4 linked regions of the Ovis aries genome follow. The protein of the gene in region 1 purifies or fractionates together with the protein of each later gene. This does not show direct contact. Links are inferred from orthologs where the notes say so. Each region holds a gene or a part of one and is shown in the gene's direction. Other genes may lie near its edges.

Region 1 (7,849 bases):
ACCCTGGAATGTTTTTAGTTTGGCCTGCAGAGTTTGGAAATACTGGTGTAAAAATCGAGAGATTTCATACAAAAATCGTGCTTTATAAGGGTTTCTCCTGGTGGGGATGGGGGGAAGGGGACAGAATATCTCAGACCACTGTATCCACATTCTTCAGGGCAACAATCTGCTGGAGCCGAACAGCTGCTCCTTTCAGTTACAGCACAGACACTCCAATTTGCCACGTTGCTTGTCACTCCCCATTGTCTACACCAGGCCAGTTTCACTCATTTACTTTACTTTTCTGGCCCCTAAAAACATGTGAGTTTGCAAACCCTATCTAGACCTTTCCTGTCCTCCATCAAAGATTACTCTGTTCTGTCCTAAGTTCCTCATCAGTTTTCCAAAGCAATAGCTAGTTAACCTGATCAAGTAATTTTTATATGTGCTCGCTACAGATGGTATCTGAATAGAAAGGGATGACTCTGCAGGTGGAAATTACAGGCACCATGGGATTACAATTAGGATGGCAACTGTTCATTTTACTTTTTCTGTAACCGTAACTCACTGTCCTTGGGCACACCCCAGGAATCTGAACACTGGCCTATGTGCGAAACCTACTTAAATAGTACTTTTATAGATCACCCTCGTTCCAAAAAACTAAAAACTATCAAGGGCTATTCTGGCTCCCCGTTGCCTCAGAGGCTTCGGGATATCCGGCCTGACTGCACTTCCCCTCACCTGCTTTCGGGGGCCGTTCTGCGCCGACTGGTCGCACCCCAGAAGGGCGCTCAGCCAGCATGAGCTCATTTCTCAGGGGCCTTTCTGGAAGGCCGGGCTTGGCAGCGCGCACGAGGCGCAGTCGCCCTCACTCTTATCAATGGCCTCCGCGACTGGGCGGGGCGCGGTCGCCCAGGGGCGCTGCCTCTCTAGAAGCTTTGTTCTCAGTTTAATGTCTGAAAACTCGCACTCGGCCTGAGAAGCGCCCTGGATCTGTCTGACCGTTTCGGGAAAGACGCCCGTACTCGGGATGCGCTCTCCCGGGCGGAGGGGAACCCCGGGCGCGCAGAATTAGCCCCGCCCCACAGAGAGCCTCCAGTGGGTGGGGAAAGCCCCTCAATCAGTTTGTTGGAGCGAGGGACCCAGCGCCACCGACCACACCAGTTTCGCACCGCCTCGCGCTCCCTATATGCGGTTTCCACACCAGCTGCGAGTAGCCGCAGGCGAGGCCGTCAGACCGTCCGCCACGACCCCAGTCGCGCTTCTCCCCGCTCCTAGGACTGCCGCCGGAGGCTGAAGGCCAATCATACTGCAGCTAGGTCTTGCGATTAGACAGCAGCGAGTGCAGATTGGCTACTGCTACGAGTTTCGGCCTCCCTCCCTTTCCCTTTTGCCCCCATTCCAGCTCCTGAGCTTCAGGCCAATGAAAAAGCGCTTTATAGACGCCCTCCCTTCGCTCTCTACTTCTCCCCACCTCGGCGAGGGAGGAGGCGTCCTGACTGGCCAGACTGTCCTCGGAAGCCCCATTCCCTTCACCAATCACCGAGGGTGCTGCACTCCCAGCGGAGTTTCGGCCAATTACAAAGCGGCCACGGCGCCCAGCCGTGCGGTTTCGCCAGCGACTCCGGGCTTCACTGTCCTTAACTCTTCAAGCTTTTCCTGAGGGCCAGCGACTCTGATTGGTCACTGCCGAATTTCTCCTCCAGCCAGCCACAGAACAAGGCGAACCCACCTTTTCCTCGGTCGGCTATCTTCGGCATTTTCCGTCCTTGGGCGTGAATTTCCAGCGACACTTTCTGATTGGCTCTTCAGGTCGATCGGCTTTTTCCGGGAGGATCCGCAAACAAACGACATCCGTGATTGGTTCCGCTCGGGTTTCGGCTCCCCTGTCGAAGGGGGCGGACGCCCCGCTCGGCCGGCGATTCCCAGACGCCTCTTACGCGGGCGGCGGGGCGCTGGGCGGTGTAAGGCTGGGTGGGGGAGGAAGGAGGCGGAGGACGAGTAGGAGGGGGGAGGGGGAGTGGGGAAGAGCTAGGCGGCTGCGCAGACGGCACTCCTCACAGAGAGCAGCCCCCGACCCGGGCGAATGCGGGCTCGTGCTGCTGCTGCTGCTGCTGCTGCTGCCGCCGCCGCCGCCGCCGCCCGGGCCGAGTGACAAAGGAAGGAAGGAAGGAAGCGAGGAGGAGCCGACCCCGCAGCCGCTGACAGGGCTCCGGACTGGGGGCAAAGCGCGGACACTTCCTGAGCGGGACTGTGCAGAAGCGAGGGGCGGGAGGGCGGCCGCGCTGGTGCCTTGGACGGGGGAGGGGGCCCCCGAGGGACGGAAGCGGTTGCCGGGTTCCCATGTCCCCGGCGTATGGGGAGCAGTCGAGGAGCCGCTGCCTGGGGTCTGAAGGGAGCTGCCTCCGCCGCCGCCGCCGCCATGGCCGCTGGATCCAGCCGCCGCCTGCAGCTGCTCCTGGCGCAATGAGGGGAAGAGCCGCCGCCACCGCCCGACTCTGACTGACTCGCGACTCCGCCGCCTTCCAGTTCGCCGGGCCCCCACCGTCAGCCCGCCGGATCCTTGCCGCTGCCGGAGCCGCAGCGTTTCCCGACGCATCTCCGAGCCACCCCTCCCTCTCCCTCCCTCCTTCCCATCCCCCCTTCTTTTCAAGCGTGAGACTCGTGATCCTTCCGCCGCTTCCCTTCTTCATTGACTCGGAAAAAAAATCCCCGAGGAAAATATAATATTCAGAGTACTTATTTTCAATCCAGTATTTGTCCCCGTTTCACGTGATATATATTTTTTAGGATCTCCCACCCATTTCTGCCCTCCAAGGAAAAGGAGGGGAAAGAATTGTAATTTTTTCCCAGCCCCGGATCGTCTATATGTTAAATATCCGTACTGATCTGTCTTCAAGGAGAAATACATCGCTCGCTTTTTTAAATAGCTGTACAAAAGGAGTGAAAAGGCAAGAGGACGAAGTCTTTTTCCTGTGGGAAAACTTAATGCTGCATTTATCATTAACCTAACACCCCAACATAAAACAAAAGGAAGAAAAGGAGGAAGGAAGGAAAAAAGGTGATTCGGTAAAAGAGTGATCATGTCAGGGCGGCCCAGAACCACCTCCTTTGCGGAGAGCTGCAAGCCAGTGCAGCAGCCTTCAGCTTTTGGCAGCATGAAAGTTAGCAGTGAGTATTGATTTTATTTTACACCCCTTCTCCACCTCCCCTTTGAATAAGAGACTTTGAAATACCAGGATCTTAAAATACGAGACCTGCTGATAAAACAGAGGTAATGGGAAAGGGCAAAAACCTGTCTTCAGTCAAGGATGAGGCAGCTTCCTTTTTTCCTCCTCCCATATCCCTTCTCCGGTCTCATTAACCTTGAATCGGGGGAATGGGATTTTTATTTAGATGATTCTGTCTGAAACTTAGTTCTTTTCTTACAGTTTTCTAGCAATTGATAGTCAGCTTTATTAAGTGGTTGAGTGTTTCCACCTTAAAATAGTGATGGAAGTGTTTACTTGCTCATCCTTTTGATTAAAGCGAAGGACAAGACTCATAAACCATTATGTGCTTTTCCAGAGTGTGTCTTTTGGAATGAGGGATAGTTTAGTTCGCTCAGGTCTCGAGGGTTACCATAGTTTTGTATACTTAATGGAAGAGGTGAATGTCACCGTCTCCTAACATTTCTTTCTTACTTGTGTGACTATACAAAGTGTTTGTTCTTAATCCAGAGATGAACTCGCTAAGTAACCACATTTCGGTTGGAAGGCGAGCTTTGATTTGTCTCTTTAGAAGGGACGGGTACCGCTGATAGATACTCAGTAGCAGTAGTATCTCAACATGCATTGTTCTAAATTGGATACGCGGTTTAATATGTTATCTCTTAACCTTACCGTTTTGACATTGCCAATCTACCACTATAGAGTTAATGTTTAATCAAAAGGTAACTTGAAAGTAGGTCCGAGTTTTGAATGGGGCTTATATTGTCATGTTGCTAAATAGTAAGTTGAATGTTAATTGTCACTGACTCATCATTAAAGTTCAGCTTTGGGGTGCCATTGCTTTCAGTACTTGCTAAATGATCTAGAGTTCAGATGTTCCTTCTTAGGACTGCTTACAATACTCTCGCATTGTTTTCCTTTCGAATTCAGATAAGGCTATGAAGTTAGAAGAATATGGATTTAGACTTTATCATCATAGGTTTTGCAGAAGGTTGTGGTCCCAGATTTAATAGAGGTATTTGGGCTTTGTTCAAGGCTGTTGCTAGACGTCTATACTCTCTTCCCAGATTTGTGCTCAAAAAGTCTATTTTGAGTGTTTGGTATACTAAGTATCCAGTGTTTTAACGTATCTCTAGTTATGGATATGTTTATGTGATATTTAATGTCAGTTTATTTAAATATACTTAAAGAATTCGACAAAAATATCTATTATAGTTTCCTTATTCCTTCAGAAAGGAGCATGAATGAGGGCAAAGAAAAACTTTTACTGCTTAGAAGAAGGAGAGAATTGAATTGAGATTTTTTTTAAAAAGGTATATGCTGTTATGTGAAATTGATTATAAAATGAACACTCTTACTTGAACTCAGGATTTCAGTTCATGGTGGCTTTTGGAACTTGTCTGAAACAGGGTAGTCTAAGGTAATAGCTGAATGGGAGATTATTTTTGAGAGTTAAATTTTTTTTTTGGTGACTAGCTAGTTCAGAATGCAGAGTATGTGAAGAGGGAAGCTGATGATGCATCTTTCAGGGAATGGTCAAGCTTTCTAAGCACTTCATGGGGTCATTTGAGAGGAATATTTTAAAATTCTGGGGTAATTTTCAGCTATGATGAAGCAAATCTTATAATAGCTCCTTAAGAGCCTCTTGTGGTACTGGAGTGTTAGGATGTTTTTCATCTTGGTTTAAAGACCACTTGAAATCAATTTTAGGTAATTAGTTTATTCAGAGAGCAGAATGGGATACCTAATAATATTAAATTTGGGGACTTTTCATTTAGTTCACAGGATTTTCTATGAATCCTTTGTGGATGTTGACTGAAGATGGAGTAACTCTTGCAAAGTGCAGGTGAAAATGTTGACTTTTCTGTTACCATATAGGTCAGCTTAACATTTAAAAGATTGGAGTTCAGTGTTGACTATGTGTTTTTGACAACCGTAACTTTAAATACATTTTGGAAGAAAGCCTTTGTTGGAATGCTGGTGTTCTAAGGGACCCCTGTTTAAGCGATAAGAAATTATAGTCCTTGCCTTGAAAAGCTTATCAGTTTTTGAGGCAGATTATGGGACAAAACGTGAAAACAGTAATATGATGACTGCAAGATTATAAATGCAAATAGAATACTTTGTTCAGAGGAACAAAAAATAAAGGCATGAGGTAGATGGCTTGGAGAGAAGACTTCTTACAGAGGTATGTTTTAAGGCAGGTGTTAAAGGAGGCAGTAACTTATATTGAGAAGCATAAAGGATTCTAGGTGGACAGAATGGACAGAGGCACAGAGATGGTGACTTTTGTATTTTTGTATTTATAAAGCAGGTTAGTAAATCTGAATAAAAGGGGCCTAAATAGGAAAATAAGAAGAGATGGAATTTGAGAAATATGTTAACTGATGGAAAGCAGAGGGGGCTTATGATTATGGTTGAGATTCAAGAGAGTTTGGAATTTACTATAGGTTGATGAACAAAATATTTGAAGATGGTTTGGGCAGCAAAGTTGATGAATTAGAAACCAGACGTCAGAGCCCTTTTAGGGAGTAGTAGAGTATGTTGTGAATAGTGAGGCAATATAAAGCAAAATTGAAAATCGGATGAAAAGAACACATTTGAGAGACAGCGTGAATGAACTGGTAGGACTTTGGATTGGATTGAAGGGGGGAGTATTTGGGAAGGAGTCAGGAGTTAAAAATAAATTCTGATGTTACTGGTCTGGAAGATTTGACCGCCAAGTTATATTGTTGATTGTAATGGGAAAGTTGAGAAAGTGCTGAGATGGGAGGATAGATGAGTTCACTTTTTAAAAATTTAATATTTAGATTTTCTTGAAATTCAGCAGACAGCAGTTGGTTACTGGCTATCGTATTTAACTTAACAGTCTGTTTATTGCACTGTCTCTAATTTTTCTATGTCTAAAAATGCTGGATTTATTTTCAGGAGTAGTAAACTGAAAGTTTTTATTTATATTCTTTCCATTTCTCAAAAAGAAAATAATTTTTAATGTAAATTCAAAAGATCTCATACTTGAAACCTAGTTATAATAACCCGATGGTAATTTATTTGAAAACAATGAAAATATTTTTTGGACTAAGCTGTAACATAAGCATTTTAGGTATTTTATACAGCCTTCAATCTTTGGTACATTCTTAAAACTAGTTTCATAAATAATGGTTATTTTAGGTAAACCTTGCTGTTTAAAATAATGTTAATATGCAGACTTCAGCAGAAATTAAAAGTTGATTTATTCATTTATTTACTTTTTGTGTTTTGGTTGCGCTAAGTGTTCATCCGGTTTAGAAGAGTATATTTGATTTTTTTTTTTTAAACCTCAATGTTGTGTAACTATTTTTTTTTTTGGTCTGCATTCATATTCAAGTGTTATTAGATAAATGTTAATAGCTAGACAGTTCTTCTGTAGAGTCACATGATATTTTACTCAAAATGGAGGCAGTAAGGTGCTATGGTGATTTTTTATTAAAATATTAGTAATAAGTCTTTTGATAAACTGTTAGTGAAAATTTAGCTAGTTGCCTAGCTAAGTCATGAGAAGTTATTTCCTCATACAGGATTTTTTATATCAAATTTCTTTAGTGAAGAGAATAATAGTAGTTGCATATTGCTGTGCAGTATTTAGTTGCATGGTGGCTAAAGCCAAAGAGTAGGTGGCAACTTAGAGTTACTCTATTCCTGAGAGAGTTTAATCTCTTTGTGTCATATAAAAATCAGGTTATTAGAATTTCACTAGTTTCTAGATTTTCCAATGTGAAAGAGAGCTCATGTGTGAAACTGAAAACCAGAATTTTATCTTCGTTAAAATTTCATTCCCTTCCCAACCAGACCTTTCCAGAGTTGTTAAAAAACTAGACCCTCATATAAGAATTGCATGCTGTCTTGTTAAATGTACCCCTAGAGTGCTAATTGTGAAATGACTTAAAGGCACAAGGGAACCCAGAGATTCATAAATCAATTCACGACTGATTGGGAATTGCGTTTAGAAAACGAGGTGACATCTTCTCATTTCATTTGCGTGCTTCAGCTGGAAATCATCACATACTTGTACCCTGTGCTGTCTGCCCCGTGTTGTGGACTTGGGTTGCCAGTGTGAGACACTGTTTTGGAGAGACAGGCAGGCTGGGGAAGCCAGCTTAAGTGTCAGCAGCAGATTCTGAGATCAGGGGAGGTCTGCTTTTGTGTGTGTTTTTTCTTTATGTATAGAGAAGGCTGTACCACAGTTCCATGCTTAACACTCATGGGATAGTGGGCAGGCTGTGGGACTGTGGAGTCTCTTGTGATGCTCCACCCTGCAAGAGGAGAATGGAGGGGCAGAGCATGTGGGTGTGATGGGATTATATCTGGTACTAACAGGACCAACCTGATTTCCCAGATATTGTTCTACTAAGAACATAATCACCATGAGTAAATAAGTTTATTGGTATGTTTAGCATCATTTTTGTAGCCTATTTTGAGGGGCGGCAGTTGAAGGGAGTGGTGTGGAGAGGAGGGAAATCTTGCATGATTGTGAGGATAGAAATGTTTTCATGGTTCATTGATTTTAAAGTAGAGGTTGCAATCTTTGCTTCTATCTTGGGTTGTACAAATCATCCTTAGTTATATAATTGTCTTTGACTTCGGTTGAGTGTGATATAGAAATGTTTATTTATGTGAAGACC
Region 2 (7,804 bases), on another chromosome or scaffold:
AAGTCACTTCAGTCGTGTCCAACTCTGTGTCCGACCCCATAGACAGAAGCCCACCAGGCTCCCCCGTCCCTGGGATTCTCCAGGCGAGAACACTAGAGTGGGTTGCCATTTCCTTCTCCAATGCATGAAAGTGAAAAGTGAAAGGGAAGTTGTCGCTCAGTCATGTTTGACTCTTAGCGACTCCATGGACTACAGCCTACCAGGCTCCTCTATCCATGGGATTTTCCAGGCAAGAGTACACACTGCTTAGCAGTTTATAAAACACTTACAGGCCCACTTCTCCTGTGTTCTCCCCAACAGTCCTGCAGGCAAGGCCCTGTGATTGCACTCATTTTATGGATAAGGAAATGGATGCTCTCTGAGTCTTGTTCAAGCATCCACTTAAGACCATGTTATGTCAAGCCTTGTGTCAGTTCTGGGTCCACAGAGACATTTAGGGCATATTTCCTATCCGCTCTCAGGCAGCTCCTAGCTCAGGCAGAGGAAACAGTAAGTATATGGACAATTAAAAGCTAATGTATTAGTGCTCAACAGAATATTACTCAGCTGCAAAAAGGAATGCATTTGAGTCAGTTCTAATGAGGTGGATAAACCCCTAGTCTATTATACAGAGTGAAGTCAGTCAGAAAGAGAAAGACAAATACTGTACATTAACACGTATATATGGAATCTAAAGATGGTACTGACGATCCTGTGTACAGGGCAGCAAAGGAGACACAGGTGTAAAGAACAGACTTTTGGACTCAGTGGGAGAAACAGAGGGTGGGATGACTTGAGAGAACAGCATTGAAACGTATACATTACCTTATGTAGAATAGATAACCAGTGTGAGTTTGATGCTTGAAACGGGGCACCCAAAGCCGGTGCTCTGGAACAACCTAGAGGGATAGAGTAGAGAGAGAGGTGGGAGGGGGTTTCAGGATGGAGGGGACACATGTATGCCTATGACGAATTCATACTGATGTATGGCAAAAACCATCACAATATTGTAAAGTAATCCAATTAAAATAAATAAAGTAAAAAATATTTTTAAAAATCTAGTGTGTTAGTGCTATGAGAGATAAATGCAAGATGATGTTGGGGTGAGTCTCTCCCAGTTTTAGAAAAATTATGCAAGTTATATATGCTGCAAAGAAGAACTATTAAACTCATCTTGGTGTGCTTTTCCAATTATTACTTTATGATTAATTATCAGAAAAATTGATCAACTTACTTTCTCACCTGTAATCTCTAAATCTGGCTGACGGTGGACATTTTTTATTCTTTTTAAAAAAACTTCATAGGTGAAAAATGGCATTCCATGAACATTTTTATTCCTTCTTTTTAAATAGACCGTTCCTTTTTGGACCATTTTTATTTTAAAGCATTTCGGGTTTACCTTATGGGTGCATATTGTTGATATTCACATATTGTTGGTGATTCTTTGTCACAGAGTTGCAAAACCTTTTTTCCGGTTTGTCTTGCCTATGGATCATACTTTTTTTGAAGCTCATTTGGAAGCTAGTCATAGTAGGAATAACATTCCAAAAGGAAAGAGTAATAAGAAATTTTCCCTCTTAGATATAATATGTATTATAGAGCTACCATCCTTAAAGTGTTGTGGAACTGGCACAGGAACACACAGAAAGACGAATGGATACAACCCAGAAACAGATCCAAGAATATATGAGTTGGTAGGTGATGATGGTGTGTGGACAGCTGGCTATTACAAAAATTATATTCGATTTCTTTCCCACTCCAAAATTAAAATGAATTCCAGATGGATTAAAAATGTAACAAAATCTTTTTCTTTTAATGTAACAAAATCTTTTAAAAATTAAAAAAAAAATTCTGTAATCCTCTTTTTGTGGGCAGTAACACACACACACTGCGCTTTGCCAGCCTGAAGAACCCCAAGAAAACATTTTGGAAAAAATATCTGAAAGGAAATGTGCGAGTTAACCACGTGGAGGTAAAGAGAGGCTCGGAAGGGCACTCCAGGCTGAAGGAACCCACCGGAGCAGATGTCTGGAGGCTGAAAGACTGCAGCGTGCGCACTCCAAAGACAGGGTCGAAAATGGAACTCAGGGCGCCCACAACGGATCCGAGGCTTGAGTCCAGGTCCGCCCCCACAGGCCATCTGCATTGTAAAATAGCACTTTTCCCATATATGGTACTTAATATCTGTTCTGGTATCAACAGAATGACATGGGTCAGGGAAAACAGCTCGCGGGGCGGAGTGTCAGCAGCCCGGACTTTCTCAGTCGGCTCCCGCCGGGCCTCGCCCGGAATCAGGCAATGCACCAAAATCCCTGCCGGGATCCGCTGAGACTCTACTCCTCCTGGTTGGATTCTCTCTGTGTCAATCCTTCTCCTGGAACCTGGCGGTTCGTTGTGCCCGCCTTAGGGGGCGGGGCTCCCGCCTAGGAAGACCAGGGGAAGGTGGAGAGGGTGGAGATGGGGGCGGATGGGAGAACGTATTCCCACCCCTCTGGGCCTATAGGTTCCACCCACTGCCTTTCCACAGGTCAAGCTGTCTGTTCATCATGAGCAGCAGCTGGTTGGAGTGGGTGAGACAGCTCGGGGGCGGGCTCGTCCCTTCAGGCTCCGCCCCGCAACCGGCGCCGGGCTCGGAGTGGGCGCGCTTTGAGAGGGGCGGGGCGGCAGGGCGGCGAGGAGCAGCGCAGGGTGCGGTGAGGCGCGCAGATCCTAGCTGTTCCTGGGCAGGGCACTGAAGGCTGAGCGAGGCTGACCTGCTGCAGCTCCCGCCTCGCGCGCTCGCCCCACCCCGCCGTCGCCCGAAGCGCTCGAGGAAGCCCTCTCGGGAGAAGCAGCGCCTGTTCCCCGGGGCAGATCCAGGTTCAGGTGAGCGAGCCCCACCGGCGGGTCCCGCCCCGAGCGGGTGAGCGGGGGTGGCGGGGACCGGACGCGTGGAGTCTGGGCGAGCGGGCCGATGAGTGGTTCTCGGCCTCCGCGCGGCCGGCGAGCAGGCATGGGCTGGGGAGAGCGGGCTGGGCACCCTTCACAGAGGGGCCCCGGGACCCCCGCGTGGATGCTCGGTGAAGACGCCGACGGAAGCCAGACCGGGGAGCCGAGGAAGGCTTGGGGCCGGGCGCTTCCCGGAAACCCTCCGTACCCCCTCCCTGCCCTCCCGCCGGCGCACTCCGCAGCCCGGGCACCCGGGAGCCTCGACCTCCCCCTGCCGCCGGGGCACGCGCCCCGCCCTCGCCTCGCCCAGTGCCCAAGTTGGGCAAACTTTTTAACCCCTTCCGGGCAGCCTCTGTCCCTTGGACACAGCTGCTTGGGCGAGGTTCAGGTGGGGGGCTCGGGGCTGCGGCTCCTTGGGAAGTTTCCGGGCGTTTTCGAAACGGGGGTAGCGGGCAGGCGGGGACCGTTTGGTAGCTGTCAGGGCGTCCTCCCGAGTCAGAATCGGACAGTCCTGCAGCAGACATTGCTCTTGGCCCGGTTTCCGCCCTCGGCTCCAGACTTCCTCATTCGCCCGGGTGCGATCGGCTGGTCGGAGGAGGGGGACCGGGAGAGGTGCTGCCGGGTGCTTGGGAAAGGGGACCCGGTGGGGATCCCGGCTCGAGACAGGAAAGACTTCCCCCTCCCTCACAGATCCACATCCTTTGACTTTTGGCCTCTGCTTCCTGGGAGTGGAAGGCCCGGGAAGGCCCGCACCAATCTCCGCGACCCCGGCGCGCACCTGATTCCAGCGCACCTGCGGACCGCCCCAGCAGGGCGAGGGCGGGGAGAGCTGGGTTCTGCTCCTAGAGGATCCGGGCTGGGCTATTGCATCGTGCCCGTTTGGGCCAGATCCAGGGTTTTCTACTTACCCCGCTACCCCCCGCCCCCCGCCCCAAATGTCTTCTTTCAGGATCCTGATCTCCTGCTGTCCAGGGGCCACGCCCAGGGCAGGACTTCACCCCTCACCCCCCTGCGCCTACCCCCCGCCCCCCACCCGGGCCTGCACCCCCCCCCCCCCACCGCGCCCCCAAGAGCCCAGGTGTCTCAGAGACGGAGTATCTTCCTGGACTAGGTTGCAGATTGTCTTGAGGTGTGGGGGCAGGGTGAGCACCGGGGCTGCTATCTGCGGCCCCACCCAGCTGGTGTGGGGAAAAGGTTCCCGGGAAGTCCCAGGTCCTATGCACCGGCGGATCTCTCTCCGCTGGGCAGTTGAGAGACCCAGCCGCTTCTGGGTTCGCTGCACCCTTTCCTGGGCTTAACAGGATTGCAAAGTAACTGTTGAGTAACTGTTGAACTGGAAGAACCTTAGCGCCTTCCTGCAACACTGTGGCCATTTCTGAGTGCTGTCTGAACCTGTAACCTCACCGGGTGGTTTATTCCCTTTATGGTAAGAAGGGAGGCTGGTTTAAGGCCTATTTAGACAGTCACTTGATTAATATTAGTCAATTTATATACAAGGCTGCTGGGAGTGGGGGGAGGGTACACAGATGTGTAATTGAGCAAATATTTAACTGGCTCCTCTGTGCCAGAGACTCTGCCAGGTGGTGGTGGGGTGTGAGGTTGAGTAAGACCTGGCCTGTGCCCTGGGGCATTTAGGGGAGAGCCAAGACAAATCCGTAGATGACTCTAAGGTGAGGCGAAGATGACAGAGACCCTAGAAGGGTGCTGTGAGTCATGGGATTGGGAGAAGGGAGCCAGCCCGTCCTATGGAGAGCCCAGAGGCCTCTGCCTTAGGGGAGTTTACAGTCCTCAGGGGGAAATAGTGGCCCAGTGACTGAAATACAGAAGCTGCCTGTGATGAGTGTCTCAAACAGGCCTCAGACAAAGGATTCGAGGAGTTCTGAGAGGGGCCACTTCTGTCTGGGATGAGAAGGAAAGCTGCCTCGAGGAAGGAGGACATGGCAGGTTTGCCAAACCGAGGCAAGCATTCAGTGTTGGAAAGTGAGGACTCATTTACGATAATTGAGGTGTAATTAAAAACGTCAAGAGATTGCTCAGTGTAATTTGAGAGCCGCTGTGCCCCCCAGATGGCTGCAGGGTGACACTAAAAAAGCTCTGTTCTTCAGATTCAGCAAGTCCCGGCAGTGCCCATGGCAGATCCAGGTGCTCAGATTGGCAGGCAGTGTCTGGGGAAGGGCAACTCCCAGAGGTGCGTTCTGTGGGGCTCCTTGTCTGAAGGGCAGGTGAGGGTAGAGGAAAAGAGAGGGTCAGGGCTTTCTGACTTTTATTTTTTATTTTTAAACTGTTAACCTAAGGGGTTGGAGATGGGACAACTTCCCTCTCACTGGATGAAGGACGCATGTTAATCACAGCCTGCCTCTTGCCCATTCTTGCTCCAGCAAAAAACAAAACACGGATCTGTTAGCTTTTCAAAAGGAGAAAAGCTCACTCAAAAAATGCTGCATTGTTGTGTCGCCTGGTGGAGGGTATTGCTAGAAGCCAGGCTAACTGTGCTTTCTTCACTTCCTCTTCTAGCTAATCCTTCCATAAAGTACTTAAGACAGCCCTTACCAGCTTGACATCTTTATTTCAAAAGGAGAGGAGGAGTTGGCTGTTGTTTTCCTCTGAGCCTGGCCCTACCCTTCTCTTGGTGGGGGTGGGGGCAGTGGGGAGGGGTGGCGGAGAGAAACCCCAGGCAAAGGAAAAAAAAAAAAAATCCAGGCCTTGACAGCTTCCTCCCAAGCATCATGTTCCAAAAATATTTAGAATAACAATATCTGTGTGTCGTCTTAATTAAACAAACCTCCTAATTTGCTGAGCATAATACAGCATCTCTGCCCACAGGGGCAGGAAGTGCATTTTCCCTTTGTGCAGCCCCAGAGAGTCACTGCCTCTTGGCTTTAACCCTTGGTGTGCTGAGCCCCTGGGCTTAAGCCCTCTGGTGACAACGGAATGGAACCCTGGCTGCCCCCTGGGAAGCAGTAGGCTTGTGACTTAACGGGATCCGGTTCTTCATGAGAGCTGGGAGGAGTGGAGTCCTGAGTTTTGGCACTAGACAGCATTCAGATCCTGACCCTGCCACTTATATGACTGTAGGCAAGTCACTTAACCCCCCAAGCCTCAGTGTCCTTATCTGTAATACAGGAGTCATGATACCCATCCTACAGAGTTAGATGTGGGAACTAAAAGAAATTAAGTATGTAAAGGGCCTGATACATAGTGACTGTGTACATTTTTAAGAAAATGTATGTGGTCAGTCTTCATTCCCTGGGTTGTCAGGTAAGGAGACAGGATAGGAAGGGTAGATGGTTCTTCTGGCTCCTAGCTCAATGCTCTTTCTGCTTCTAAAAATGATGTGCTCTGTGTGTGTGTTTGCTTATGGACCACAAAGCTTGAGTGGTAAAAACAGATGGTTCCGGGGCCCATCTGCTGATGTTCTTGGTGATGAGCTTGTGCTCACTAACCTTGTTGCAGGGCCCCGGCTCAGGCAGAAGATACACAAGCTCACTGTGTTTTAGTTCTCAGACACAGCTTCCGTGGTCCAGGGGAGAGCTAAGGGGTGACATGGAGGTACACTGGACCTATTGTCTGGAGGCCTGGCTTCTGGCTCTGGCCCTGGTTGGGGGTACATTTGATTTTGCTAGAAGGCATGTACTGCTTCACAGAGACACCACACCAGTTTATGTGTCTGCCAGTTATACCCAAGAGAGTTTGGGAAATTGAGACACGCAGGAATTTAAATTTTTCCATAATGCCCCAGTTTCTTAAGTGCCATTATGCCCTGCTGATGGGGTCTAAGTTGTAACAACTCTCTTTATAGAAGGTAGTTGGGCAATATCTGTCAAAGCATAGTCCTTCTGACTGATTTCTAGGAACTCACGGGCAGATAAACTCAAACATGCAAAGGGAAATGTCCAAGGATATTCTTTGTAGCATTGTCTAGAGAAAGACAGGAAATAAGCTAACTGCCCATTAAGAAGGTCAAATAAATCATGGTACAGCTGTATAGTGGGAATCCTTGAAGCCCTTAAAAAATCGAGACTGAGTACCTATAGGTACTGATTGGGCATGCTCTCCAAGATATATTTTAAGTGGATAAAACTTGATACAAAATGGGATACATGTTGCTCCCTCCTGTGTGAATCATTGTATGATGCCTCCGCTCTGTGCATGGAAAGCTACAGACACCCAAGTAACAGTGGTTGCCTCTAGAAAGGGCCCAGGAAGCCAGAGCCTGCGGTGAGCATTGCTTTTTCCACTAAATGCCTTTTTACATGTGTTGACTACTTACATAGTCAGAAATTGAAATTTTTGTTAGTGTTACTAACAACAAAAATAAGTGGTTGGCTGGCCAGTCTTGGGGGTCTCTGCTTTTAAAATGCATTGCTTGAGATCTCAGATTGCATACTGAGTGCCTGCCACGTGCAGGGGAGGAGGAAGGGTCTTAAAAATGGACTGAATTGCTCTGTGGTTGGAACATTTTGGGGCCTGTTTTCTTCTCCATGATGTCATATTATCACCAGACTAACCCCTTTAAACAAATGTCTACTCTGATCCTTTCCCTTGGTTTCTGGAAAATGGTAGGTGCTTTGATTGCCTTTTCTCTGCTGTATGAGAAAAGGAAGCCCGCGGGACGTGTGTGGAATGTATTCTAGGAAGCCCTTTTGCCAGCTTTCCCACAATCCCCCTGGCTCCACGCTGTCCACTTGTCCTTTCCTGGGGAATCCATCCTGACCAGGAGGCCAGACCAGACCTTTATTCTCTTGGGTCTTCCTCATTTGTAAACTTGGGGTCATTGCAACCCACCCCATCTCCAGTTGTCCCTTAGAGATCTGGCCTGTGGTTTTTACGTATTAATAACATTGGAAAAGCCCAAATTTCTCAAGAAAATGTGATCAGAGGGGGGTTTTGAATTGGA
Region 3 (6,212 bases), on another chromosome or scaffold:
AGGTGAACCGCGGCGCGGCCCGCCCCGGGGCGTGGGGGTAGGCTGTCCGGGTGGCCGGAGCGAGGGGGCGGGGGTTGCCGCCCTCCCAGCGCCAGCAGCTGCGCTGAGACCGCAGAAGTGCCGCGTCCTGGCAGCGCCAGGTGGTGGTATGGCCCAGCTATCTTTTTTTTCTTTTTGCTCTCCGGAGGCAGGATGGAGAGCTCGCTGGTGGAGTCACATTTTCCAGTTTTCCTAACCGCATTTCTTACCCTCGGTTTCCTCTCTCCACCTTTCTCCTCCAGCGCCCAGAGCACCAAGCGGGCCTACCCCACGGAGTCGGCCCGCATGTCCCCAGCAGAGCGGGCCGGCCGCCACCACCTGTGGGGGGGCGGCACTGGGCACCCCCGCACTGTTCCTCGGGCCCACCCAGCTTGCACCCAGGACTCCGCGGTGCCTCCCCTGACCCCACCTAACACCCTGGCCCAGCTGGAGGAGGCGTGCCGCCGGCTGGCTGAAGTGTCCAAGCCCCCAAAGCAGCGGTGAGTAGACAGGCTGCAGCAGTCAGGGGCGGGGCAGGCCAGAGGACCCATGCCTTGAGGTCCAGCTGCTCTGACAGGCTCACTGGGATCTGGCCAGTCGTGCCTGCAAGAAAGAGAAGGAATCTCTGAAATTCCTTGCAAATCCCATTCCTTGAGTGTCCCAGTCAGTGGGGGTTGTGAGATGAGCTCCAAGGCGCTGTGACCCGCTGGGGATCCAGTACCTGCAGCCCTCGGCCTGGGTGGGCCGCGTGTAGTCCCGGGGGCCCAGGGCTCAGCATGGCTGGGCCAGGCCCGGGGGCTCCTGTCCACACAAGGCCTGGGTGGGACTCCGCCCAGGGGGCGTTGGAAGCCGGGGAGGCTGGCTCTCTGTTTTCCCTTGGCCCCAGGGATCCCTCTCAACCTTTCCTGGCCCTGGGAGTTCCTGTCCACACAAGGCCAGGGTGGGGCTCCGCCCGGGGGACGTCGGAAGCAGGGGAGGCTGGCTCTCTGCTTTCTCTTGGCCCCAGGGATCCCTCTCAACCTTTCCTGTGTTAGGTGCTGTGCGGCTGGCCAGCAGAAGGACAGGAGCCACCCGGGCCCTGGGATGCCGGGCGCCGCGCCCTTCTCCAGCCCAAGCCCAGCTTTGGAAGAGTGAGTGTCTTGGCCTGGTGACGCTGAGGTCTGCCCAGAGGCTTTGTGTTTTCAGGGTATTCATGTCAGGGGTTGCAATTTTTGAAAACTTTTTTAGTCTATAAAATCATCTTGATTTTAACATCCAAGACAAGGAATTGTAAACCCAGATGGTGCCATAGATCAGAGTCTGGAAAACCCCTGTCCAAGAGGAACGCATGGTGACTCGTAGTAACACGCGGGTGTCCTCTTCGTGAAGTGGTGGTTGGCTCAAGGTCACAAGCTGAGAGCGAAGCCTTTAGCTTCTGGTTAGAGAACCCCAAACACAGATGGAAAAGCTGTTCCCATCCACCTGGAAGGCTAATGGGTTGAAAACGTTTGCGTGGAACTGAGCAGGAAGGCGCTTCTCCCCGGTTGCAGAGACAGACGAAGGGCCCATCCTTGCTGTCTTGCAGGGGCCGGTGTTGGGAGTGGCGGGAAAAGCATCTCCCCGCCGATGCCCCAGTTCCTGTTGTCAAGTTACGCTCCTGTGACCGGACAGGGAAGCCAGGCTTCTTTTGGTTCCGGGACGGTGTGTGAAAAGAGTGGTCAGCTGCTGAGATCTGAAGTGGTTGAAATCATTCACCTGTCCGTCCTTAGCTGCTCTATCATGAGTAGTGTTCAAAGAGAGAAAAAAACCTCTACAGTGTTTTAATTGGTTGACCTTAAGTTGACCAGGTGTTTGGGCCTATTGCGCTTTTTTTAGCCATTCTGCAAAAACTCAGAAGTTGCAGTGACTGAGGGCTGATCCCCACACACCCCCACCATGGGCCCTGGCGTTCCGAGTTCACGCCATCCCTGGGCAGAGGCAGAAACCACAGACCCTGGCTGGGGCGAGTGTGGTGTCCTGGTCACTCTGGGAGGGTTCCTATCTTTGGAGGCAAGTTCCCTGTGATGCCCCCCAATGGACATGGCTCCGTCCTCCCATTGGGCGGCACACACACACCTGTGTGCCCTGCACTGATGACCTTGCCCAGGGCCCTCGGCACACACAGCTACAGCCTCACCTCTGAAGATACAGTTTGCAGACCTCCTGGGGGTGTGTGCGCTCTGACCGCTTTCAAATGCTGGACCTGTGGCTTTTCCATCTCATTTTCAGCCACAAGGAGCCCAGGAAGCTGGCAGGGATGCACGCGCTCCAGGCCAGTGAGCTGGTGGTCACTTACTTCTTCTGCGGGGAGGAGATCCCCTACCGGCGGATGCTGAAGGCCCAGAGCCTGACCTTGGGCCACTTTAAGGAGCAGCTCAGCAAAAAGGGAAACTACCGGTAAGCATCCTGTGGCTTTCCTCTGCTCCAGAGTCGGTTTGCTCAGAACCAAGAGCCAGGGTCACCTCTCAGCCCCCAGACCTGCAGGGGCCAGGTGGGCGGGCAACCTGGGGCTTTGCTCTGTCTCCTTTCCTCCGACTCCCCCACCCCTGCCCCTCCTAGAGATAGCACAGGGCTGGGCGGGCTTTCTCTAGCAGGAGAAGTGGACTCAGGAGCCAGGGGACAGCTGGCTTTTTCAGAAGAGCCGGGCAGGAGCCTGAAAGGGAGAGCGTGGGGAGAACAGAGGGGTCGGACAGACTGATGAGGAGGCTGAAAGGCGGCCCTTGGGCAGGTCCGGGAGAGACTGCCACCCATGACACGTGGCATCGTGCCCCCTCAGCTCTGGGTCCCAGGTAGTGTGAGGCAGGGTGGCCTGAAGCGGACAAAGGGCAGGACCTGTGGGTGGGTGTGGGGGCACAGGGCTGCCCACTCTTCCTGCCAGGACCTGGGGAAGACGCCCTGCCGTCCCCCCAGGCCTCTCCCCACCTACAGGGTGCAGACCCCGCCCCTGGCGTGCCAGCCCCAGGCGTCCTTGGTTACTTTTCTCTTGCCTTGTCTGGTTCATCCAGAGCCCTAGCTGGCCTTGTCGGCTGCCTCCATCCCAGAGGAGTATGCGGGTTGTGTCCAGCTGTGTCCTGGGTGCCATGTGCAGGGCCAGGACGAGGAGCGGGGAGCAGTCAGGGGGCACGGGTCAGAGAGGAGCCCAGCTGGGGCGCAGAAGCTACCGCCCCAGTGCCCCCCCGAGCGAGGGAGGGAGTGCGAGAACTTTAGCATCCCTTAGCAAGTGGCCTGATGGGTGAGCCCACCTCCCGGGCCCGAGACCCCCGCCCTTCAGAGCAGGCCCCCTGCAGCCCGGAATGACTTGGTTTGCAGGGAAGGGAGCAGGGCTCAGGGCTGGGACCGTGCCAGTGACAGACCACAGGCCTTGGGCCGGGCTGGCGTCTTCCTGGTTCACACCTGGGCAGAGGTGGTTCTGGAGATGAACAGAGGGGGAACGGGCCTGGCTTATCTCGCACAGACCCAGGCGAGGGTAGGGGCACACGTCCCCCTCCAGGGACCCATCAGGACCTCAGCTTTGGCGCGGCTGGCCCTTGCGTGGGACTGCAGGTGACTTTCCGGGGGGCCCAGAGCATGGAGCAGGGCAGCCCCCGCTTGGACGCTCTGGCCACATCTGGCCTGGATCCTGTCTGTCCCGAGGCACGCTCAGCGAGCCGGGCTTTGAAGCCCCAGCCCTCCTCTGACGAGCGGACTCTGCGCTCACATTCCTTGCTGATTGGATCAGGCTGTGGCGAGCGGGCCCTCCCTGCCGCCCTTCCGGGCCGGAGCTGGACCCCTGGCCCCTGGTCTTCTCAGCCTGCGTGCTGCCGCACTCACCTTGCCCCCTGCCCCCAACTCCCAGCGAGGATGGGCTGGGGCCTGGGCTGCAGGGCAGGGCTGGGAGGGGAGCCGCCCTCAGAGGCCAGATGCCCGGGAGGCAGGGCGTGAAGCAGGTCTCAGGGGCGAGAAGCCAGGGGCTACGCCTTTGACGTCTCGGGGTCAGGGCTCCTAGAGGAAGTTGCAGTTATGGACACGGTCACCACGAGCCCCTGCTCAGAGAGGCCAGGAAGCCACCCTGCTCTGGTCCGTGCTGACCCCGAGGGCTGTGGGCCTGGGGTGCCAGGGGCATCGGAGCCTCTCCAGGGAAACAAGACTGTTGTCTCCCCCCACCCCCCACCCACGGTGCCCTGTCTCAGCGGGCCACCCAGGACCGGCGTCTCCACTGCTGGCCCCCGTAGCCCAGCCCCTTGAGTACCTCCAGCTGTCTCACCGTATCTAGCCTTATCGGCTTTCCGAGTACTTGGCCTGCCTTCACTGAAGAGCAGAGACGTTTAGCTCTAAGCTTTTTAAGGAGAAAAGATAAAAACAGAGGCCCACCGTAACCCTGAGACGCAGTCACACGTTTATTGTTTGAGAAGCTGTTCCCCTCCCCCAGGGGCCTTTGCCGCCTGAAGGCGACAGCCTTCACGGGCGAGTTTAGTCTGTCTGCGGGGTCTCCCTGGCCGGGGCGGGGGGAGGCAGAGGACTTGGCATGGTGTCCAGGCAGGGACGTGGGTGGGCCGGGCAGACAGGACAGCAGTCGTTTCAGGCGTGACTCTCCTGGGACGGGCTGGTCATCTGCACCGGTGCCTTCAAGTGGCTTCAAGAAGGAAGGCCAGGGTGGGACCCAGGGCCTTTCCATCCACACAGAATAGGGGCTTTTGGCGTTTGACCCTGGGGCAGGGAGCGAGGGGACCGGGGCAGAGGGGAGAGTCACAGTGGCGGGGGGGGGGGGGGGTCTCAGTGGCCCCATGAGGCAGGGAGCTGCCCACCTCCGGTGGTGGCCACAGCGGAAGCAGCCAGTCCTGCTCCCCGGCTGTGCCCGAGCCCCCAGCTGTGCCCGAGCCCAGTCAGGCACTGGTGGGTGGGGAGTGTCACAGGTACCCGCCTCCCGCAGGCTTCACAGAATCAGATAGCTGAGTCTGAGGGCTCTTTGAGGGGCCTCCCCAGGCTGCCCTGCAGGTGAACTCCAGGCATGCTTTGCCCACCCACCCCCAAAAGAAACTGGGGAGAAAGAAGCAGCTGTTCATCAGGTTTCCGTCCTGGACTGAAGGCTGCAGCCTCAACGCTGCTGGCAGCTATGCGGGGAGGAGGAGCCTGGCCCACTGCCTCCAGGCCGCCCGCCTGGCTTTGCCCTTCACCCAGCCCGGGGGCTCTCACTGCAGATCCCAGTGGCAACTTCCCTGCCAGCCCCACGCAGCAGCGTTCTCGAGACCCCTTGGTCCCCGCCTTGTTGACAGAGTCTTCTCAAGACGCGTGGAAAGTGCCCCTTCACCAAGCGCTTGTTGGGTTTTCCCTTTAAGGTATTACTTCAAAAAGGCGAGCGACGAGTTCGCCTGCGGAGCGGTGTTCGAGGAGGTCTGGGACGACGAGGTGGTCTTGCCCATGTACGAGGGCCGCATCCTGGGCAAGGTGGAGAGGATCGACTGAGCGCCCCTCGCCGCGGCGCCCGCGACCCCGCCTTGCGGCGGAAGAGCCACGCGGTGAAGATGCCGGAGGCGCGGGACGAGTCCCGCCCGGGCCGCCCGGCGCTGCGGAGAGGAAAGCCGGAACTGCTCTTGAGAAACGGGACCACTCGGCGCCGGCGATGCTGACTGTGCCCGAGAGGCTGCCGCGCGTCCTGTGCGACAACCCGGGCTGTGAATCCAGCCGCGGCTCACCTGCACAGGAGTCCCTGCTGGTATTTATTGAACAGGCCCCCCGCGCCCCGCGTGTGGACGCGGGAGAGGGATTTTCGTGGTTCTCTGTCACCAAGAATTAAGCTCTGCGTGAAGACGGACTGTTCAGGGTGGCGCCCTGCCGCCCGCACACGCGGAGATTGGTGCATTTTCCGCTGCCCCGCGCCCCCACCCCGCGCTGCTGTGTTTTCATATAGGTCTGGAGGCCTGGTGTGGAGGTCCTGTCGATGGATGATCTTGGCGGGGGGGATGGAGCCTCCCTGGGCCCCAGGTCCGTCCTGTGACTTCTGGGGCTCCCACCAAGGCCCGGCCCCGCACCCTACGGCCGACGCCTGCTGCAGCCATGTGGTTCAGCTTGTGCTTTTATGGAAATAGCGGTCCTTGGCGTTTTTTACAGATTACTCTTTGGACCCCAGCCATTCTAGAAGCTACTCCCCACCTCACCCCCACCCTGCAAAGAAGCAAACAGCTTTGGGAAGACTGGCC
Region 4 (7,771 bases), on another chromosome or scaffold:
TTGATGAATGCTTTGATGAAAAGGTAGAGAGTACTAGATAAGGAGGAGCTTAGTCTGGGGAGTTAGGAAGAGTTCTTGACGAACCGAGAGCAGAGCAGGATGCTGGCAGATTTACGGGCATTCATTCAGAGGCTGAGGGGAATGGGCAGAGGAAGAACGTTTACTAAGGAAGGAACAGCTTGTGGGAAGGCTCTGAAGCAAGGAGGTCTGGCCCTACCTCCAGGAACTGAAACGAAGGCTATCTGAGAAAGAATGACATCAGAGCAGGGAAGAAAGTTAGGAAGATCACGGGTAGACCAATCAGACGCCACTGAAAGGTTTTAAACAGGGCAGTGATATGGCCAGATGTGAAACACCCAAATAGAAATGCCGGCCTTCTGGGGATGAGTGCAGATTTCAAACAGCAGGCAAAAAAAGACAAAGCTAGGGGCTTCCCTGGTGGCCCAGTGGGAAAGAATCCACCTGCCAAGGCAGGAGACACAGGTTCAATCCCTGGGTCTGGGAAGATCCTCTGGACAAGGGCATGGCAACCTACTGCAATATTCTTGCCTGGAGAATCCCATGGACAGAGAAGCCTGGCAGCCTAGAGTCCACGAAGTCCGGAAGAGTCAGACATGACTCAGTGAGTAAATACCAACAGGAGCAAAGTAACTCTGCTAGGAGAAAAAAAATATGGACTTGTAAACTGGATATATATTATTTTTAAAAGTATTAAAAAAGAATAAGCAACATCCACACAAACAGCTCCAAACTGGAAATAAAACAAATGTCTATTAATTGACAAATTGATAAATAAAATGTGCTATATCCATACAATGGAATCATTATTGGGCAATAAAAAAATGAAGTACTGATACATGCTACATGATACATGGATGGCCCTTGAAAACATTAAATGACTTGAGTGAGACAAATGACCACATATTGGATAAATTTGTTAATACAAAATTTTCAGAATAGGAAAGTCTATAAAAATTTTTTTTTTTATAAAAAAAGGTGTTGTATAGGGCTGGGGACAGGGTGGAGGATTGACTGCTAACAGATAAGGGGTTTCTTTTTGGGGGAAAAAAAAATTGTTCCAAAGTTAGATTTTGCTAATGATTGGGCAACTCTGGGAGTATACCCAAACCACTGAATTGTACATTTGAACACTGTATGATAAGCGGATTATATATCAATCAAGCTGTTAAAAAAGAAAATAAAAAATTATCTAGAAACTAGGGACACCTGTAGAAATGGATTTCAATCCTAATTTCTTCTCATTTTATATTTGTTGGCCTAGAAATAATTGTAGATCGCAAGAGACAACAGTGACTGTCTGCTAGCTTGAGTTGGGAGCATTTATTGCTGTTTTAGTTTAGGTTAGAATGAGAGAGTTGCGCCCATTGTGCATTAAACTAGCAGTATGGAGCAGCTGTTTCAGTTAATCATTATAAGGACTGCAAACAGCATTCAAAGAGTACTTACTTGGTTCCTTCAGCATTTTAAATGAATGCTCTTAATATGTAAAATAATACTTATTCTCATTCAGTATTTTTCCTTTCCAAAAAAACCCTATAGTGTTGAAATCTTATTTTCATTAAAATCAAGGTGTTGGCTTAACTTTAAAATATTGCTCCAGATCTTTAAAACATTTCTTTTCTAGTTCTTAAATTCTGATTAGGAATATGTGAGTCATTATTACATACTGCATAGGTTCAAAATAGCTACAGAGAAAGGGAATATGAGGTTGAGGTGGTGGAATGCTTCCATTTTCACACTCTGAGAAGGCCAAGGTTTCTTAGGGAAGCATTCCTGGTATCTGTATTAATCAGTTTGATAGTTTCTCAGCTGCTGTGTGTGCGTGCATACGTGTGTGTGTGTGTGTGTGTGATAGTTTCTCAGCTGTTGTGTGTGCGTGCATACGTGTGTGTGTGTGTGTACGATCTTCCAATTTCACTTCACTTGTGCTGCTGACTCTGTTAGGTTTTTATAAAAATTCATTTCATTTCCCTTTCCAGCTTCCCTCTTGCGGGTGTGTGCATGCCAAAATATAATTCAGGCTTAACCACTTTGCGTGCAGGCTAGTTCATTGTCTTGTTTTATGTATGAGGAAGCTGAGACTCACAGATGATAAGGTACCTTGCTTGATTTGGTTGAGTCACCAGTTAATCGAGTTCTTCTAGGTGGAACTCAGGTCTCCAGATTTCTGTTTCTTGTTAGGGAAACATCTCCATTTTCTAGCCCTCGACCTCTATCTTTTCAAATCTTATACTCATGAATAAATATCTACATTGAACATCATTTTATGTTGGCTATTCTTAGAACTGACCTTTGTACAGAAGAGGTGGTAATCTAGGAGTTGTAAACGGAGGGGGAAAAATCAAAGGTAACGATTTTTGGGGGGCCATTCGTTTTCCCCTGTAACAAAATTTCCCATTTATTTCTCCAATTTTAATTAAACAGCAGTAACTGAAGAATATCTAGATTTTTTTAAAACAAAATATGGCAAACAGAACCAGGACTCTGACCTAACAGATTTTAGAACAAGAATGTCAATGTCAACCGGAAATTAAAAATTTCGGGGCTCCTTCTTACATAGATTATAATCCTCTAATCTCCCATCTTCCTCTGTGGCCTTAAGATCCGTGCTCTGCAGCGAAGAGCTTAAAATTATTAAACCATAGACGTCTCTTCCCTATTTAAAACTCTCCAGTGCTTTCCACTGCATTCAGAATAAACTAATTTCTATATTGGCTTACAAAACCCTACAGGATATAACCTGTGCTTGTTTACTTCTCCAAGCGTGTTTCCAAGCTTACTTTCCTTTTACTTTCTCATACCTTCCCCCTCAAGCCCAATTTAGGGCCTTAGAATTAGCAGTTTCCTTTGCCCCAAATGCTTCTGTGATATTTGCATGTCTGTTATGCAAACCGCTTCTTAAATGATTCCTCCTCAAAAGGGCCACTCCATTGCAATCGTCATCACATCATTCCTTGCATTTCTTTTGCGTGGAGCTTAACATCGAGATATTTTTCTCCCGAGGATGCTCAATCGAGAGTCTGAATAGTCCCTAACATAGAAGCTCAACAAAAATTTGTTAAGTGAAGAAACGAACATATGAATATGCTCTTTCTTCCTTGCCCTCCTCTCTTCCAACCAAGGCAAAACTCATGACGATGCAGTTAAAAATGTCCTCATCTATCAGGTATCTCCACTCTTGAGGAAAAGATGTCTTCGAGGAGGCTGCAACTTCACTGGACTAGCCTTCCGATTCTACCTTGATTCTAAACATATTAGCTTTTCATCTCCGTCTTGATTTCTCGGTGATCAAGGCTTTACTTCCCGATTCTGACATCGCCTCACGACGGAAAGGTGAGCACTAGGGCCTGGAGATCCCTTGATGCCAATTGTTGAGGTCTGCACGGGGCCGTGGGCCTGGAGCGCTGTGAGTGGTCCTCCGGGAAATGCAGGGAGGAAGGGGCGGAGCTGTGTCAGAGGATGAGCCCTTCTAGAGCCATCGGATCTCGAGGGGCTGCCGCTATGGGAAGGGGCCCCCGGAATCAGAAGCAAGCACAAGCTAGGGGCGAAGAAGGAGCCCAGCTGACCTCCGGCGGTAGAACCTAGGGGACGAAGGAAAGGAGGCAGGGCCTTACACCCGAACCGCAGAGCAAGCCAAGGTTTGGATATTTTGCCAGAGGAAAGGGTTAAACGGTTCCCCAGGTAACGGACCAGGAAGCGCGCAAGACGTCTGCGGGAGGTTCGTAGGTCAGCCTCGAGTTTAAAGCTCCCGTGGGCCAAGCGGACTCTGACCAATGGGAATGCCGCTGGGCGTGGTCACGTGACGCGCGCGGCCATCCGGCAGGCAGCCCCGGAGCACGTGGGAAGGCTTGTTCCTGTTCCTTCTCTCCCGTTTAAAAAGCCCACCCACTTTTTGCGCGGGCTTGGTCGCGGAGTTCTTCTCGCGAGAGGCGGGGAGTCCTCTCGCGAGAGCGAGTGGGAGGCGTGAAGACTCTCGGAGGTGTTGCGGGGTGGACCTGTGGTGGCGGAAGCCGGGGGCGGGCGGGCCGGCCGCGGGGCGGGGAGGGGGGGAGGGCTGGGGGCCGCTGCGGGAGGGGGGCGCCCGCCTCCTTGGCCGCTCGCGCCGCTGGTCGTTGCGGGCGGGTGTCATGCTTGTGAGCTGCGGAGGCTGCGGCCCCCCAGGTGAGCCTTGGCGCGGGTCCGCCAGCTGAGGTGAGCGGCGCCCGTTGGCTGGGGCGGCGGCGGGGCGTGGGGCCTCGCTGGATGGAGCGGCCGGGAGCGGCCCGCAGCCCAGGCTCTGACTGCGGGGCTGCCCGGAGCTGCGCCTTCGCACGGCGGAGGGAGGAGCGGGGCGGGGAGAGGCGAGGAGAGGAAGCCCGAGGCTCTGGGCCTGAGGAAACGGGGACGGGCGACCTCGGGCTTCCTGGGGTCTGAGGGCGGCGGCGGGGCGGCAGCTCTTTGGGTGACAGACAGGCCTAGTTTCCGTCCCCTAAGGTGGTCTTCAGAGCCGGGGCCCCGCCGTGCGTGCTGCTGCGTGTGCCTCGTTGGTGTGCGTGCTGCACGCACAGAAACCTTTGCGGGAGGAATAGGAGGATGCACTTTGTCCCCCGAACCAACAGCCATCCTCTGTCAGATCTCTTTGAGCCCTGGAATCGGGCACAGCCCAAATATTGTGACAAACGGAAAGCGTCAAGCAGCTCCTCGGCGTGCTACTTGGATTTATCCGCTCCCAGATTTCCTTCAGCGCTGTTAAACGGCTCAAATGCAGGCCACCACTCCTCATCTGAATGGACTGGGTAGACTTACTCTTTTATTCCAGGCACTTAAATTGCCTTATTAAAAAAAATACGTGGGTGTGCCCAAAGTGTTAAAAACGTTGGCAGAATAACAATGGGAGTAGAATCTGAACCGCAGTGTATGACGTGGGGACAGGCTTTCTGGTTTCCTTCCACTGAAACCCCTGGTAAACTGGAGGTAGTTTAGCTTAAGATGCTAAGGAAATAACAGGGTGAGAAATACTGCTGAGACATATCTGATGGCCTTTTTGCAGCCTGGCGTTAAACATTCTGGTTCGCTTTTCAGCCTTGTAATTCCTAAGTCCCTTGCAAAACTCATAAGCTTTCCTTACCTGTTTTCCACCTTGTTAGGGATGATGTATTGATTGATACTGATTTTGGTATGTCTGGAAATAGGAAATGTACTCAGAAAATTCAGGGTTCTCAGCAGTTATTTTAATGTCTTATTATTATTTATGGTTTTAGAGGAAATGGCATCCCAGTGCCCAGCACAATCACTGTCAGTCTAGATACTACCATTTTAATGAAGCTCTTTAAACTCACAGTTATATTTTTCAGGAAGTACACTGATTATGCATACTTCTCTATGGCTCTTGTGGCAGAACTGACCCAAAGGTTGACAGTGAATTTCACTCTTGGCTGTAACAGAAGTTTATGAGAAATCTGAGAATGTAAAGGGCAGTCAGAACAAATTCCCCAAATTGAACTGGTACCTAGTGATGAATATCTGTACCCACTTAGCTGCTCTGTTAATAAAGGCCTAGTGGTTTACCTCCAGGCTGATGATATCTCCCAGTTATTGAGGAGATGGGACCTGCCGAAGACCCTGAACCACAGTAAGAAATTATCTAGCTTTTCAACTCTTCAGAGAAGTCTAGAAGCTGAAGAAGTCTTCCTTTGCCTTTCAAGGCTGGAAGAAGGATGGTGCATTTGTTTTTCTTTTTTTTTTTTTTTAAATGAAAAATTCCAGGAACTTAACTGTCTGGAAAAGTAAACCAAATCAGATGATAAATTTTAGGTTATTCTTAGGGAAATTTCCACTAATGAGTAGGCTGTGCTGTTATTTGTACTTGGAGAAAACATGAAAAACTTCAGCAGTATCTTTCTGAGAATGGGCAAAAGAGACTTATAGATTTAAGAAGTTCTCTGCCATTTCATCTTGGGAAGCTGATTTTCAGGGATAGAAAAACTTTTTTTTTATTTTGCTGGTTTTTATCACTTGTTGGCAATATTTTCAGGTTTAGGATGTAGATACTTGTTAATGAAGTCACTTTGGGTAGGGTGATTATTTGATAAGCTAAACTATTCTTTTTCTGGCCTGCATTTTAGTAGTAAAATCAGTGATTTAGAGGAAATGAGGAATGGGACAGGTCAGGAAAAGATCTAAGCTGGCCTGGGCTTGAGTTAAGGGTTAGTGTATAAACTGGTAAAGTAAGGAAAGAAACATACTTCTTCAATTTAGGAACAAATCAGACAGCTCCAAGTGGCTTTATTCTGTCACTTATCTTCATATATTAAAGTTTATTATAAAATATTAGCATCAAGGCATTTGAAATGTATAGGTTAGAGCCTGGACAAGAGAAAAGAAAACATTTTTGGACTAATCAGAGAATGTTTCATGGGAAAAAATAGATAAATGGCATAGAGGATTGGAACAGATTAGATATTACTTGAGTGAAAAAGAGGTACAGTGTAAAAGAAAAAAGTAAAAAGAGTTTGTGTTTGGGAATCCAGCAGATCTGTTCGTTGATATTACAAAGCCTCTTTTTCTTCATCCCTGACAGGAGAGTTTTTAAAACCTTAGTTACTGTGAAGCACATAGTAACTGCTTACCCAGTGTTTTTTCTTTGACCTCTTTTAATGTCTTGAGGATTATTTGCCTGCAAGAAACAGAAACCGTTTGAATTAACTTACTTAAAAAGGGCGTTTGTCAGACAGAAGCGTCTGAAGTCCAGCTCAGCGTTTGGAAACCAGAACAGGCAGTTAACCAGCCTGTTTTCCCCTGGGAAGCCATGACATGGGTCTTGTGTCTCTGTTACTCTGTAATGTCTTGTTTCGACTTCTTTCAGACTGACTCTTTCAAGTTCTTGGTTTCTGTTTCCCCGTACCTTTGGTTTGTATGAGACTTTGGTTTGCTTTAGTGCCGACACAAGATGTTTTGATTTTGCAGTATGGTTCTCTAGAGATATCTTCATGTCTTAATTCCAAATTTCTGGAGAAATAGATAGTCCAGTTGGTCAGGTACCTACTTGTAGTCCTGTTGCCTGAGGGTGGGGAAAGATGGAGAAGATGTAGGTGTGCCCTACACGAAAGTCCCAAAAAAGTCCCACAGTTTGTATTTTTTCAGGCTGGGTACTATAAGTTCTGTAGTAAAGGGGGTGTGAACAGGCAGGAAAAGGTGGGTACTTCCGGTGTACTCTGACCTCCTGCAGTTAGAATTTTCCCCTTAGTAATCCTCTGAACTTGTTCTCAGCAATGATCTCCTTCAGGACAGGTTCTAGGTGTATGAGGGCCAAATGTGTATGTAAATCAGGTGTCCCCAACCTCTAGGATCTAATGCCTGATGATTTGAGGAGCTGATGTAATAATAGAAATAAAGTGAACAATAAATACAATGTGCTTGAATCATCCTGAAAACATTCCCCCCCTCCCCAGCCCTGCCAGTTGGAGGAAAAATTGTCTTCCACAAGACTGGACCCTGGTGCCAGAATGGTTAGAGGACCGCTGAAGTAAATGTTTTGTGTCTCAGTTTTCTTATGTAAAAATGGGTATAAAACAGCAACTTCTGCTGTGAAAAATATGAATTCTGTTTATCAGCAATTCAGCAGTGCCTGCCTGGCAGAGTGTAAGGGATGTGGTGTGACTGTGACTGAGGGCTGTGGGTACTGCGGTGTGGCTCCTGCAGCATTTGAAGAAGAAACTCATTCCTAGCTAAGTCTAGTGCTGACCACTGCATACTTAAAACTGTTTCTTGA

The links.
Region 2: the proteins of GSK3B (region 1) and MYH9 purify together in Homo sapiens (affinity purification with western blotting; 4 studies listed by BioGRID, with this or other methods). This does not show direct contact. The link is inferred for Ovis aries from reciprocal best matches to the Homo sapiens genes GSK3B and MYH9.
Region 3: the proteins of GSK3B (region 1) and AXIN2 purify together in Homo sapiens (affinity purification with mass spectrometry; 9 studies listed by BioGRID and IntAct, with this or other methods). This does not show direct contact. The link is inferred for Ovis aries from reciprocal best matches to the Homo sapiens genes GSK3B and AXIN2.
Region 4: the proteins of GSK3B (region 1) and AKAP11 purify together in Homo sapiens (affinity purification with mass spectrometry; 4 studies listed by BioGRID and IntAct, with this or other methods). This does not show direct contact. The link is inferred for Ovis aries from reciprocal best matches to the Homo sapiens genes GSK3B and AKAP11.

What each region holds. Positions count from the first base shown.
Region 1 is NC_056054.1:185,710,794-185,718,642, reverse strand, and holds the start of GSK3B (glycogen synthase kinase-3 beta), read left to right. Parts: upstream 1-3,062; coding exon 3,063-3,150; intron 3,151-7,849. UniProt on the Homo sapiens protein: Constitutively active protein kinase that acts as a negative regulator in the hormonal control of glucose homeostasis, Wnt signaling and regulation of transcription factors and microtubules, by phosphorylating and inactivating glycogen synthase (GYS1 or GYS2), EIF2B, CTNNB1/beta-catenin, APC, AXIN1, DPYSL2/CRMP2, JUN, NFATC1/NFATC, MAPT/TAU and MACF1.
Region 2 is NC_056056.1:180,444,302-180,452,105, reverse strand, and holds the start of MYH9 (myosin-9), read left to right. Parts: upstream 1-2,681; 5' UTR 2,682-2,732; coding exon of another isoform or gene 2,733-2,973; intron 2,974-4,153; exon of another isoform or gene 4,154-4,333; intron 4,334-7,804. Other genes in the region: uncharacterized protein LOC114114032, read right to left, coding at 805-878, 1,996-2,381, 2,733-2,973. UniProt on the Homo sapiens protein: Cellular myosin that appears to play a role in cytokinesis, cell shape, and specialized functions such as secretion and capping. Required for cortical actin clearance prior to oocyte exocytosis. Promotes cell motility in conjunction with S100A4.
Region 3 is NC_056064.1:61,407,971-61,414,182, reverse strand, and holds part of AXIN2 (axin-2), read left to right. Parts: coding exon 1-2; intron 3-281; coding exon 282-518; intron 519-1,052; coding exon 1,053-1,148; intron 1,149-2,265; coding exon 2,266-2,433; intron 2,434-5,351; coding exon 5,352-5,478; 3' UTR 5,479-6,212. UniProt on the Homo sapiens protein: Inhibitor of the Wnt signaling pathway. Down-regulates beta-catenin. Probably facilitate the phosphorylation of beta-catenin and APC by GSK3B.
Region 4 is NC_056063.1:12,780,571-12,788,341, forward strand, and holds the start of AKAP11 (A-kinase anchor protein 11), read left to right. Parts: upstream 1-3,475; 5' UTR 3,476-3,739; intron 3,740-3,925; exon of another isoform or gene 3,926-4,000; intron 4,001-4,112; exon of another isoform or gene 4,113-4,212; intron 4,213-4,250; exon of another isoform or gene 4,251-4,796; intron 4,797-7,771. UniProt on the Homo sapiens protein: Binds to type II regulatory subunits of protein kinase A and anchors/targets them.